Linked DNA regions of Kluyveromyces lactis. The protein of the gene in region 1 interacts with the protein of each later gene in a pairwise test. Links are inferred from orthologs where the notes say so. Each region holds a gene or a part of one and is shown on either strand. Other genes may lie near its edges.

Region 1 (5,627 bases):
ACTGAAAATAATGGGGATCTGGTTAGGTTCTGCATTATTGTTGTTGCCCAGTGTGTTTGCGTTGAAATCTAATTGGTCTTTGAATACGTCAAGAAAAGTTTGGCATTTTGCAATCTTACCCCTCTTGATTCCGGCAATCATGATGGATTCAAATTTTGTGAAAATTGCGTTGGCTGGAACTGTAAACCTTTTTCTCATTGTCGAGTACATTCGTTTCCTACATATTTACCCAGTGGGACACTATTTGGACAAACATTTGAGATCTTTCGCTGACTTCAGAGATGAAAAGGGGCCAATCATTATTTCCTACCTTTATTTCATTATCGGTATCTCTTTGCCCTTTTTGATCAATGGTTCCATTATCGGTATCATCTCGCTAGGCGTAGGTGATTCATTGGCTTCCATTATTGGTAAAAAATTTGGAAGAAACAGATGGCCAAATACTTGTAAAACTTTCGAGGGCACTTTTGCATTCATTGCAGCTACTGGCATAACTACAGTGATTATGAAAGTTTACTTTAACTTTTTCACCGAGGTGTCGTTCATGAATTTGGTTCTTGTATGTTTCCTAGCTGGCATCTTGGAAGGTAATAGTACTTTGAATGATAACTTACTAATTCCAACTTTCATGTTGATATTGTTGGAATCTATGAAGGAATAGTATTGATAGATAGTCAAACCTGTTATGCAAAACCTATATATTCAAAATTTGAGTATGTAGTAAATTTATAGATTAGGGCCTATTTTTGTTCCAAGGGTACTTCACTGACCATGTTTCCATCTTTCTTGCTTCTGAATAAGATTTGAATGGTCAAAATGCGTTATAAGTTAGTATTGTGAAACGTAATGATATAAATAGAAAATCATGTTTACACGGAGTGGTGATGGTTCACTCAAAACTCTTGTTAATAAGAAATTAGGGCGTGTGGCGTAGTTGGTAGCGCGCTCCCTTAGCATGGGAGAGGTCTTCGGTTCGACTCCGGACTCGTCCAATCTTTTTATTTCCCCTGTTCATTCTGGACCAATGATCTCTTTTTTTGATATAACGATGTGGTGCCTATTACACACAAGCTGAGAATGTTCTGAGAATTCGTTTACAAACATTTCATATCATTTACGTTAAATATATTATACGTGTTTACTATTTATTTTTGATAATCTTTACTTTTCAATGTATAGTTTGAAATCAAAGAATGATTCGAGGAATATATAAGAAGAAAGATGCTTCAGATGGCGAGATAAATAAAAAAAAAAATAGACGACAACTGGATACGACGTACCATTGTTAAGTAGCTTATTATAGTTATTGATATCAAGCAGCTTCAATTATCCGCAATTTTTTTTTTCCACTTCGCTTTATCAAGAAAAATTAGAAGTTGATTGGCTTGGCGTAAGCAGCTAAGTTAGCTTCCTTGAAAGCTTCGGATAGAGTTGGATGAGCGTGACAAACTCTAGCGATGTCTTCAGCAGAAGCACCGTATTCCAATGCTAAACCGGCTTCAGCGATCATTTCACCAGCGTTAGGACCAATGATGTGAGCACCTAGTAAACGTTCAGATTCTGCGTCGATCAAAATCTTAACGAAACCTTCGGTGTCCATGTTGGTTTTAGCTCTAGAGTTAGCGATGAATGGGAACTTTCCAATCTTGTATTGAATACCAGCTTCCTTTAATTGTTCTTCGGTCTTACCGACCCAAGCGACTTCTGGGTGGGAGTACATGACAGCCGGGATGTTACCGTAGTTGACATGACCGTGGCCGACCTTGAAGTATTCGGCAGCAGCGATACCTTCTTCTTCAGCCTTGTGAGCCAACATTGGACCGAAGGTAACATCACCGATAACCTTGACGTGTGGGAATTTGGTGGATAATTGTTCATCAATGACCAATCTACCACGCTTGTCGACTTCCAAACCGATCTTTTCAGCGTTCAAACCAGCGACGTATGGTCTTCTGCCGACAGCGACCAACAAGACATCAGCTTGGAGAGATTCCTTCTTACCATTCTTGGCACCTTCGACTTCGATGTCAACGACGTCACCGTTTCTGGAGGCAGACAAGACCTTGGTGCTCAACTTAAAGTCGAGACCTTGTTTCTTCAAAATCTTTTGAGTAGTTTGAGCGACTTCACCATCCATGGTAGCACCAATTTGAGGTTGGAATTCGATCACAGTGACCTTAGAACCCAATCTGGAGTAAACTGAACCCATTTCTAAACCGATGATACCACCACCGATGATAGCCAATTTCTTTGGGATTTCTTTCAAGGAAAGAGCACCAGTAGAAGAAACGATTCTTTCCTCATCAATGGTGATACCTGGGAATGGAGTCACTTCAGAACCAGTGGCAACAATAATCCTGTCACTTTCCAAGAGGTGATCTTCAGTAACGGAACCTTCCAGACCTTCCACAGGAAGAACCTTAACGGATTTGTCAGTTTCAAAGGCACCTAAACCTTTGTAGTAAGTGACACCATTCTTCTTGAACAACATTTCAATACCACCAGTCAATTGCTTGACGACAGTGTCCTTAGCCTTTTGAAATTGAGCAACGTTAATGTTGATTTCACCGTTGATATCAATACCTCTTTGCTTAGCATCCGTCTTCATTTGATGGTATAGGTGAGAATTGTTCAACAAAGCCTTGGATGGGATACAACCAACGTTTAAACAAGTACCACCTAGTCTACCTCTTTTCTCAACACAAGCAACATCGTAACCGAGTTGAGCAGCCTTGATAGCAGCAACGTAACCACCTGGACCACCACCAATAACGACCAAGTCGTGCTTCTTAGTAACGGTTTTCAAAAGAGCAGAAGAGCTAAAGGAACGGGTAGAATTGAATCTCAACATCTTTGATTAGGGCGGATATAAATAAACAAGATAAATAAGATAATCCTCTAACCTCTTACTTATACGTTATCTGAACCCTTTCTCTGTGGTTTCACTTGATATATTTCTTGAAATATAAAATATCCTAGTGAATTCCTTTTATATTAATGTCAATTGGAATGGAAAAAAAAGATTACGATCCCAAATAAATACAACTATTAGACGGTTTGATCAATTAAATAGCAAGAAAATTGATCTACAGGACTCAAATACCAGCATGATGCGGTAGGGTTTGGTGATTCACTACGGTACGGACCATATATAAACTACAATTATATAATTGAACGGATTGTAATTCGAAAAAATACTGTAGTATTCCAGAGAAGACCACTTATTTAACTGATCTATATTTCATCGTTCCTTTGCGCAACTTTTAAGTTGAAGAACCAGTTTTTTTTTTATCAATCTATTGAGCTTTCCAAACTGCCAGAGTCATTACTATTAATTATCGAAATGGGATAACACAGTGAACAGAAGTATCTTTGTGAAAAGCTGTTTCGCTGGTGTGATCTATAAAGGCGACGGCTCATCACAAAAAAGTTGCAACTGTCTTGACGTGGGGAACAGGGAAACCTTCGGAATCGACAAAAATTGAAACTATTGAATGAAATCAGTTGAAAAATAACGAAACGAACCTAAAAAAACGGAAGCCGTACGGGGGCCGACACGAAAGGCGCAGGGCGGGCTATCAAGAACGTGATTAACACGTGATTCAAACCGGGTAACGTTTATTAATTTATGATCACGTTGTTTTTTTTTGATTACCAGTTTTTCCTTCTGCCAAATACTCACTATGAGATATGATATCCATATAAAAGAATAATGAATCATGATATATGAAGGATAAGGGAGATTGTTAGCAAGAACAAAGAATAGAGTAGCAACAGTAATAACAAAGCATTAGCCGCAGATATGAGATTTGCACCTATTTTTATTGGAACGGCGTTGGCCAGTTCGTGTATGTTTAAGGACGGATTTTCTTAACCCTTTTTTTTCCCTTTAATTCTCAACTTTACTAACATCATCATCGTCATCGTCAAATACAGTATCTTCACTTATGGTTATATATCCTGACAGCTTCCAATACTACAATGATTTAGTGAATGTGGCACATGAACTTGATGGGACTATAACGCATGAATATACATTATTCAATGGGTTTAGTTTGGATTTGCCAGAAGAGTTTGTCGCTAAATTCAAGGAAATGAACCAACATTTTAATTGGGGGCTTGAAATAGAAGAAGACCAGGAGGTTCATGCGTTAGGTGGGCTGAAAGAACATGCTGTTTGATTGCATTATGGACTGAATCAACGTTGTGTCGGTCTTTACTATTATTTTCTATGTAGATTTTATACGCAAACATATATTACTCGGTTTAAGGATATTTTTTCAATTCTATCAAGCACTTCAGCAATGTATATTTATGGGCTCAACGTTCCAAATTGATGTTGTCACCGAATTTGGCATACAATATACTCTTTAGCTCTTTTATTCTTGAGTCCAATTCCGCCTCATCGCTCTCTAGCTTTTCTATATTGCTGTCGATGTTTTCAGCATCGGATTCTAACTTTTCAACTACTTCTTTCTGTTTTAGAAATACGAAGACGTCTCCGATCTTATATTGTACCTTCTCATCCTCGTCTATCAATTCAATTTCCAACGATACGTCGTCGAGGTACTCTTTCTCTGTTCTTTGTTGCGTCAAATCTTGTTCGATAGCATCTTTTCTCATGATCAACTTGGAGAACTCATTGATACGTTGTTGATCTTCGTATGCAACGGTGACCGTGTTCTTTTGACCCTCCGGTAGTAATTCCATTTCTAGTTAGTGTGTTGCGTGTAAGATGTGGTAGATGTCTCTGTGTCTACTCATGTCATGTACTGTTTTCATCTGTACTTTTAGCCATTCTTGTTATTTTTTATTCAACTTTTACATACTCTAAAGATTTATCTTGCAAATTACACTACTGACATGCAAAATTATGTCATGCAATTTTACAATTTCATGCTCAAAAGAAAGCAGTTGGGACATATTTCACGGCCCTATCAGGTTTATTGTTTCACGTTGTAATTATGCATTCATATATAAGTATCTAACTTTTGTTTTTATGGTGCAACGTGAGGTTGAAAATTAGCAATTACCAGAAAGAGCTGTAAAACAGACCCCTTCAGTTGTGATACTCTTTGAAGAATCTCTCAACACCTTTACCTAGCCTTTCAGCAGCTGTTTGTAAATGCTCTTCATCTGGAGCCATAGCAAATGTAATTCTTAAAAAGTTGGACCTGTCATATGAAAATTTCTTGTCAACTGCCATTCTGTAACCCAAGATTACAATGCAACCTTCTTCCAACAACTTGTAGTTTAAGAAATTCATGGCCTTTAATTTATCCGAGATTTCTCCGAACTTATCAAAATTGATCTTGATACTAATGAACATACCGGCAGAGGGTTCAATCAATTCAAATAATTCTTCTTTATAAGCTGGTGTAGCTTCCAATGCTTGGAAAAGCACATTTCTTCTATGTGTATACTCACCAGCAACTTTCATGACCCATGATAGCCAAGCTCTGACCTTGTCTCCATTGAAATTTTCTGCCCATTTGTCTATTATATTAATGGTCATAGCTTGGGCAAGACCACATGGCGATCTAACAGAAATGTCTGCATATTTCAATAACTTGTCTAGGATAAATTTATTGGCGACAATGAAGGAAAGACGCATCCCAGGGGCGAAG
Region 2 (4,478 bases), about 440 kb from region 1:
TCGTTATTATCATCATGCAACATAGAAGTAGTTAAAGTAGACAAACTTTCTTGCTCTTGCGTATCTACCTCCCCCTTAACACTGGCGAAAACGTCATTAGAGTCCCTATTGCTATCAACATATATCTTGACGACATTAGCAGGTTTTGAAGCTTGTTGCTGATTCTGTTGTTGTTGGTCTTGAAAGGTAGTAGTTCTCGTTGCGGGCACCTGAATAGTCCCGGTTCTTTGGGCCTTCATTGGAGATACGATGGAGGACACTACATCGTAAGACGTTTGTGATATGTTTATCAGTTGATCGTTTATGTTTGCCCTGGAATATTCCCTTTTCGTTTTCTCACCAGTGGGTAAAGTCTTGGAATCTGGTGGTAAATAGCATGGTATATCGTAATCGACGTCTGCCTTGTTCTTGTCTTGAATCATGAAACTCAGCTCTTCAAAGCTAATGATAGACCCGCTATCGCATGAATCGGCTATCTGAGACGGTACATCCGTCTCAGATGAAGGCACGTCTATGCTAATTGGTAGTTCCTGTTCGATGACAGAGCTTGGGTTCGAGATCGGTTTGAACCTCAATCCATCTTCCGTTGAGCACCGGTTATTACTGCTTTCTCCTTCGACAAGTTGAGACAACGTATACACAGGCGCATTGTTATCCAACGTTAAACTTGGAAGAATAGTCTCAGACTCTCCATCTGAGCACTGAGAAGATATCTGCTTTTCTGGGGATAACTGAGACGCTTTCCAAAGATTGTGCTGTTCATCAGCACCGTATACGTATTGCTGTACCGAGTTTAGCTCGCTTCTAGAAACTTTTGGTAATTTTTCTCGTAGGAGGCCAACGATATGTTGCCATTCTGATTCATTAAAGGGCGCAAATTGTGTCGGATGAGAATCCTGTAAACTTTCCGCATCTGCAGATGCCTCCGAGTCCAATTTCGACACCAATTTTTTAACCTTGGCAGATTTACCCGAAAGAATCGAAATCATCTTCTGAGCCCTATCCTTCACTCTATTTGATTCCCAATTATCTGTATTGAACTGGGTAATACTCTTGATTCTTTTCTGCAATCGTGCTGTCGGCTGCTTGACCTTTGAGGATTTTATCACTTTCTTGACTGGCACTTTTTTGGAAGACACCAGTGGAATATCCGCTTGATCTTGTGTTTCCAGCGCAAATCTTGACAGAACATTGCGGAAGGTGTGCACCACAGTCTCCTGGTGGTTCAGTTCATCTATGGCACCTTGGACTTGAGTAGAGATCAGAATATCATCATCACCTTCCTCCGGTGGAATCTCAGTCTCCTGCTCCTCATCTTGATCCTCATCATCGCTGAACATAGTAGGAACCTGAGTCATGCAAATATCACCCTGTTCCACTGAATCTTCAGACAAATGATCGTTCACCATCAGCAAATGCCTACCAGCTTTTTCCAACTCATCATGCATCAGGAAAGAGAGGTTTGCTATTGAATTCTCTGTCTATATCTTACAAGTATACCAGTCACCTGGTATATCAGCAGTCCTTTCCAATTGACGCACCGCAAGGCCACTCATAAACATACGTTGGTACAGTAACACACTAACACGTACTATATATATAGAGAGAGAGAGAAATAGAGAGAAATAGAGTTTGGGATACATAATGATAAATGCCAGCATGATTCCAAATCAAGAATAGTAAATACAATTATAGAGATGAACCTCAAATTGCATAGAAGCAGTGAGAAATCGAGAAAACGCGATATTTTTTCATGCATTGCACGAAATAAAACAGGGTTAGTCGGGGTAATACGAATGTAATACGAACGTACTCTACACGTGACTTGTTATTACTTATTCCTTATTCCCGGAACTCTTCTTACTTTTTATGGCCTCAGTTCGACTCCCGGAGCGACCCCTTCGGTGCAATTAAATCCAATCCTCCCGTCCTTCATCACTCACTCTTAACGATCCGGACCGGATTATTTAGTCTTTCTTTGTGCTCTCTGCTCTTCTGTTCTGGTCGGCGCCGAGTCTCCGTCATATCACTTCATACGAGCTGGTATTCCGGTAATTGGCTCCGCCAAAGGGCCCTATTTTCCAAGTTTTTTGAGTAAGCACATTTTAATTACCTACTGTATGCACTTTCGCCATTATTATATATATATTATATATATAATAATGATAATAAAGTTCAATTCTTTGAAAGGTTGCCTTTAAACATTGAATGTTTAACCCCAGGATTTATAAAACGGTCCGTTTTTGAGCTAATTTTGACTACAGTTTGAATTAAATAGAAAGACAGATACTTTTTTCTGATTCCTGTTGAGAAAATAAGGAACCTTTTTGAATTCGTACCAAATTTTTCCTTCTTTCTTTCTTTTGAATCATAATCATCATAAATTATCACATTTGATAATTTTGTTTCTAAACCAAATATAGAGCAAAGGTATTCAAGTCAGTTGAATCCATTTACTCTTCAGAAATAACATTCGGAAATATACTCAGGTCTCGGAGTGTATCTACAAACACAGATTATAATATAATATATTATCCTTTTTCACTTTTGGTTTTGTCCCATTCCAACAATGTTAAGGAGTTCTACTAGAGTTGCAGTTAAATCTGCTTTGCACAAGCCTTTGGTTCGTTGTGCTACTGTTTCACAATTAGAAGCGGTTAGAAGTTTTAGTTCAAGCCGAATTTCTTCCGATATCTCTTCAAGAAATGGATCTTTTAACGCCGTGAGTCGTCGTTCTTCTGGTCCATTCCAATTCCGTTGTTCCCCTTCTCAGTTGAACACTAGATTCATGGCAGTTCGTCATGCTACTTCTGTGCCGGTTCCTCCTATGGCTGAATCGTTGACTGAAGGTTCTTTGAAGGAATACACTAAGAAAGTCGGAGATTTCATCGAAAAGGACGAACTGTTGGCTACTATCGAAACCGATAAGATCGACGTCGAAGTCATTTCTCCTATCTCCGGTACCATTGCGAAGTTGAACTTCTCTCCAGATGATACTGTTACCGTTGGTGAAGAGATTGCTCAAATTGAGCCAGGTGAAGCTCCTGCTGGCGGTGCTGCCGCTTCAGAGTCCTCTTCCGCTTCTGCACCTGCTGCTGAAGAACAGCAACAACAGGCTGCTCCTAAGAAGGAAGAGCAACCAGCCACTCCAAAGAAGGAAGAAAAGGCCGCTGCTCCAGCTCCAAAGAAGGAGGAAAAACCAGCCGCTGCTGCTCCAAAGAAGACTGAAGTTGACTCATCTGCTACTGAATCCTCTACCCCATCTTTCACTCAATTCTCCCGTAACGAACATAAGGTCAAGATGAACCGTATGAGAATGAGAATCGCTGAAAGATTAAAGGAATCTCAAAACACTGCTGCTTCTTTGACCACTTTCAACGAAGTTGACATGTCCGCTGTCTTGGAAATGAGAAAATTATACAAAGATGAAATCATCAAGACTAAGAACGTTAAATTCGGTTTCATGGGTCTTTTCTCTAAGGCTTGTACTTTGGCCGCTAAGGATATTCCAGCTGTAAATGGTGCTATCTCCGGAGATCAAATCCTTTACCGTGATTACACCGATATCTCTATCGCTGTCGCTACTCCAAAGGGTTTGGTTACCCCAGTGGTTCGTAACGCTGAATCATTGTCTGTTTTAGAAATTGAACAAGAAATTGTCAGATTGGGTAAGAAGGCCAGAGATGGTAAGTTGACTTTGGAAGATATGGCTGGTGGTACTTTCACCATCTCTAACGGTGGTGTCTTCGGTTCATTGTACGGTACCCCAATCATTAACATGCCACAAACGGCTGTTTTAGGTTTGCACGGTGTTAAGGAAAGACCTGTCACTGTTAATGGTCAAATCGTCTCTAGACCAATGATGTACTTGGCTTTGACTTATGACCATAGGTTGTTGGATGGTAGAGAGGCTGTTACTTTCTTGAGAACTGTCAAGGAATTGATTGAAGATCCAAGAAAGATGCTTTTGGCTTAAATTTGATTTAAAGAGTTCTCCATCTTTATAGATATTGTTCTTCTTTTTTTTTTGGCATCACAGAAACTCCCGCTCTGCACTCATGCAAATGTATCCATTCACCTTCTGCAATATATGTGAGGGAGAGAGAAGTATTCTTTATCTAACAATGGTTACATATATGCGTATTCCTCAGCTCTATGACTGTTTCCAGATATTGGCAAACGGACTTGAAGAAAAAAAGAAGAAAAGTAGGCTAATCAACAATACAAGACAAAAGAAAACAACAAAAGGATATCTAAAAAAAAAATCGGGCTTTCTGATTTGCAAGATATGTGAAGTATAATGCATTTATACTATCAAGCTGATACCAATTCCAGTCATGATATTCTAAACAAACATTATACTCATACTTTGATTTCAAGCCGATTCTGAATTACGACGACTTATTCATGATTTATTATGTAAAACACCAACTATTTTCCCCACATTCTCCAGTGTATTGTTCATATAGTCATTTTTT

Evidence for each region. The genes of interacting proteins can lie anywhere in the genome.
Region 2: the proteins of LPD1 (region 1) and KGD2 interact in binary tests that used the Saccharomyces cerevisiae proteins (3 or more experiments, as listed by UniProt). The link is inferred for Kluyveromyces lactis from reciprocal best matches to the Saccharomyces cerevisiae genes LPD1 and KGD2.

Annotation. Positions count from the first base shown.
Region 1 is NC_006040.1:949,273-954,899, reverse strand, and holds LPD1 (dihydrolipoyl dehydrogenase), read right to left. Parts: upstream 2,852-5,627; coding exon 1,370-2,851; downstream 1-1,369. Other genes in the region: SEC59 (dolichol kinase), read left to right, coding at 1-661; KLLA0_D11143g (uncharacterized protein), read left to right, coding at 3,803-3,848, 3,937-4,181; tubulin-binding prefolding complex subunit GIM3, read right to left, coding at 4,321-4,710; ARO9 (aromatic-amino-acid:2-oxoglutarate transaminase), read right to left, coding at 5,060-5,627.
Region 2 is NC_006040.1:1,394,348-1,398,825, reverse strand, and holds KGD2 (dihydrolipoyl transsuccinylase), read left to right. Parts: upstream 1-2,569; coding exon 2,570-3,976; downstream 3,977-4,478. Other genes in the region: SLX4 (Slx4p), read right to left, coding at 1-1,448. UniProt on the Saccharomyces cerevisiae protein: The 2-oxoglutarate dehydrogenase complex catalyzes the overall conversion of 2-oxoglutarate to succinyl-CoA and CO(2).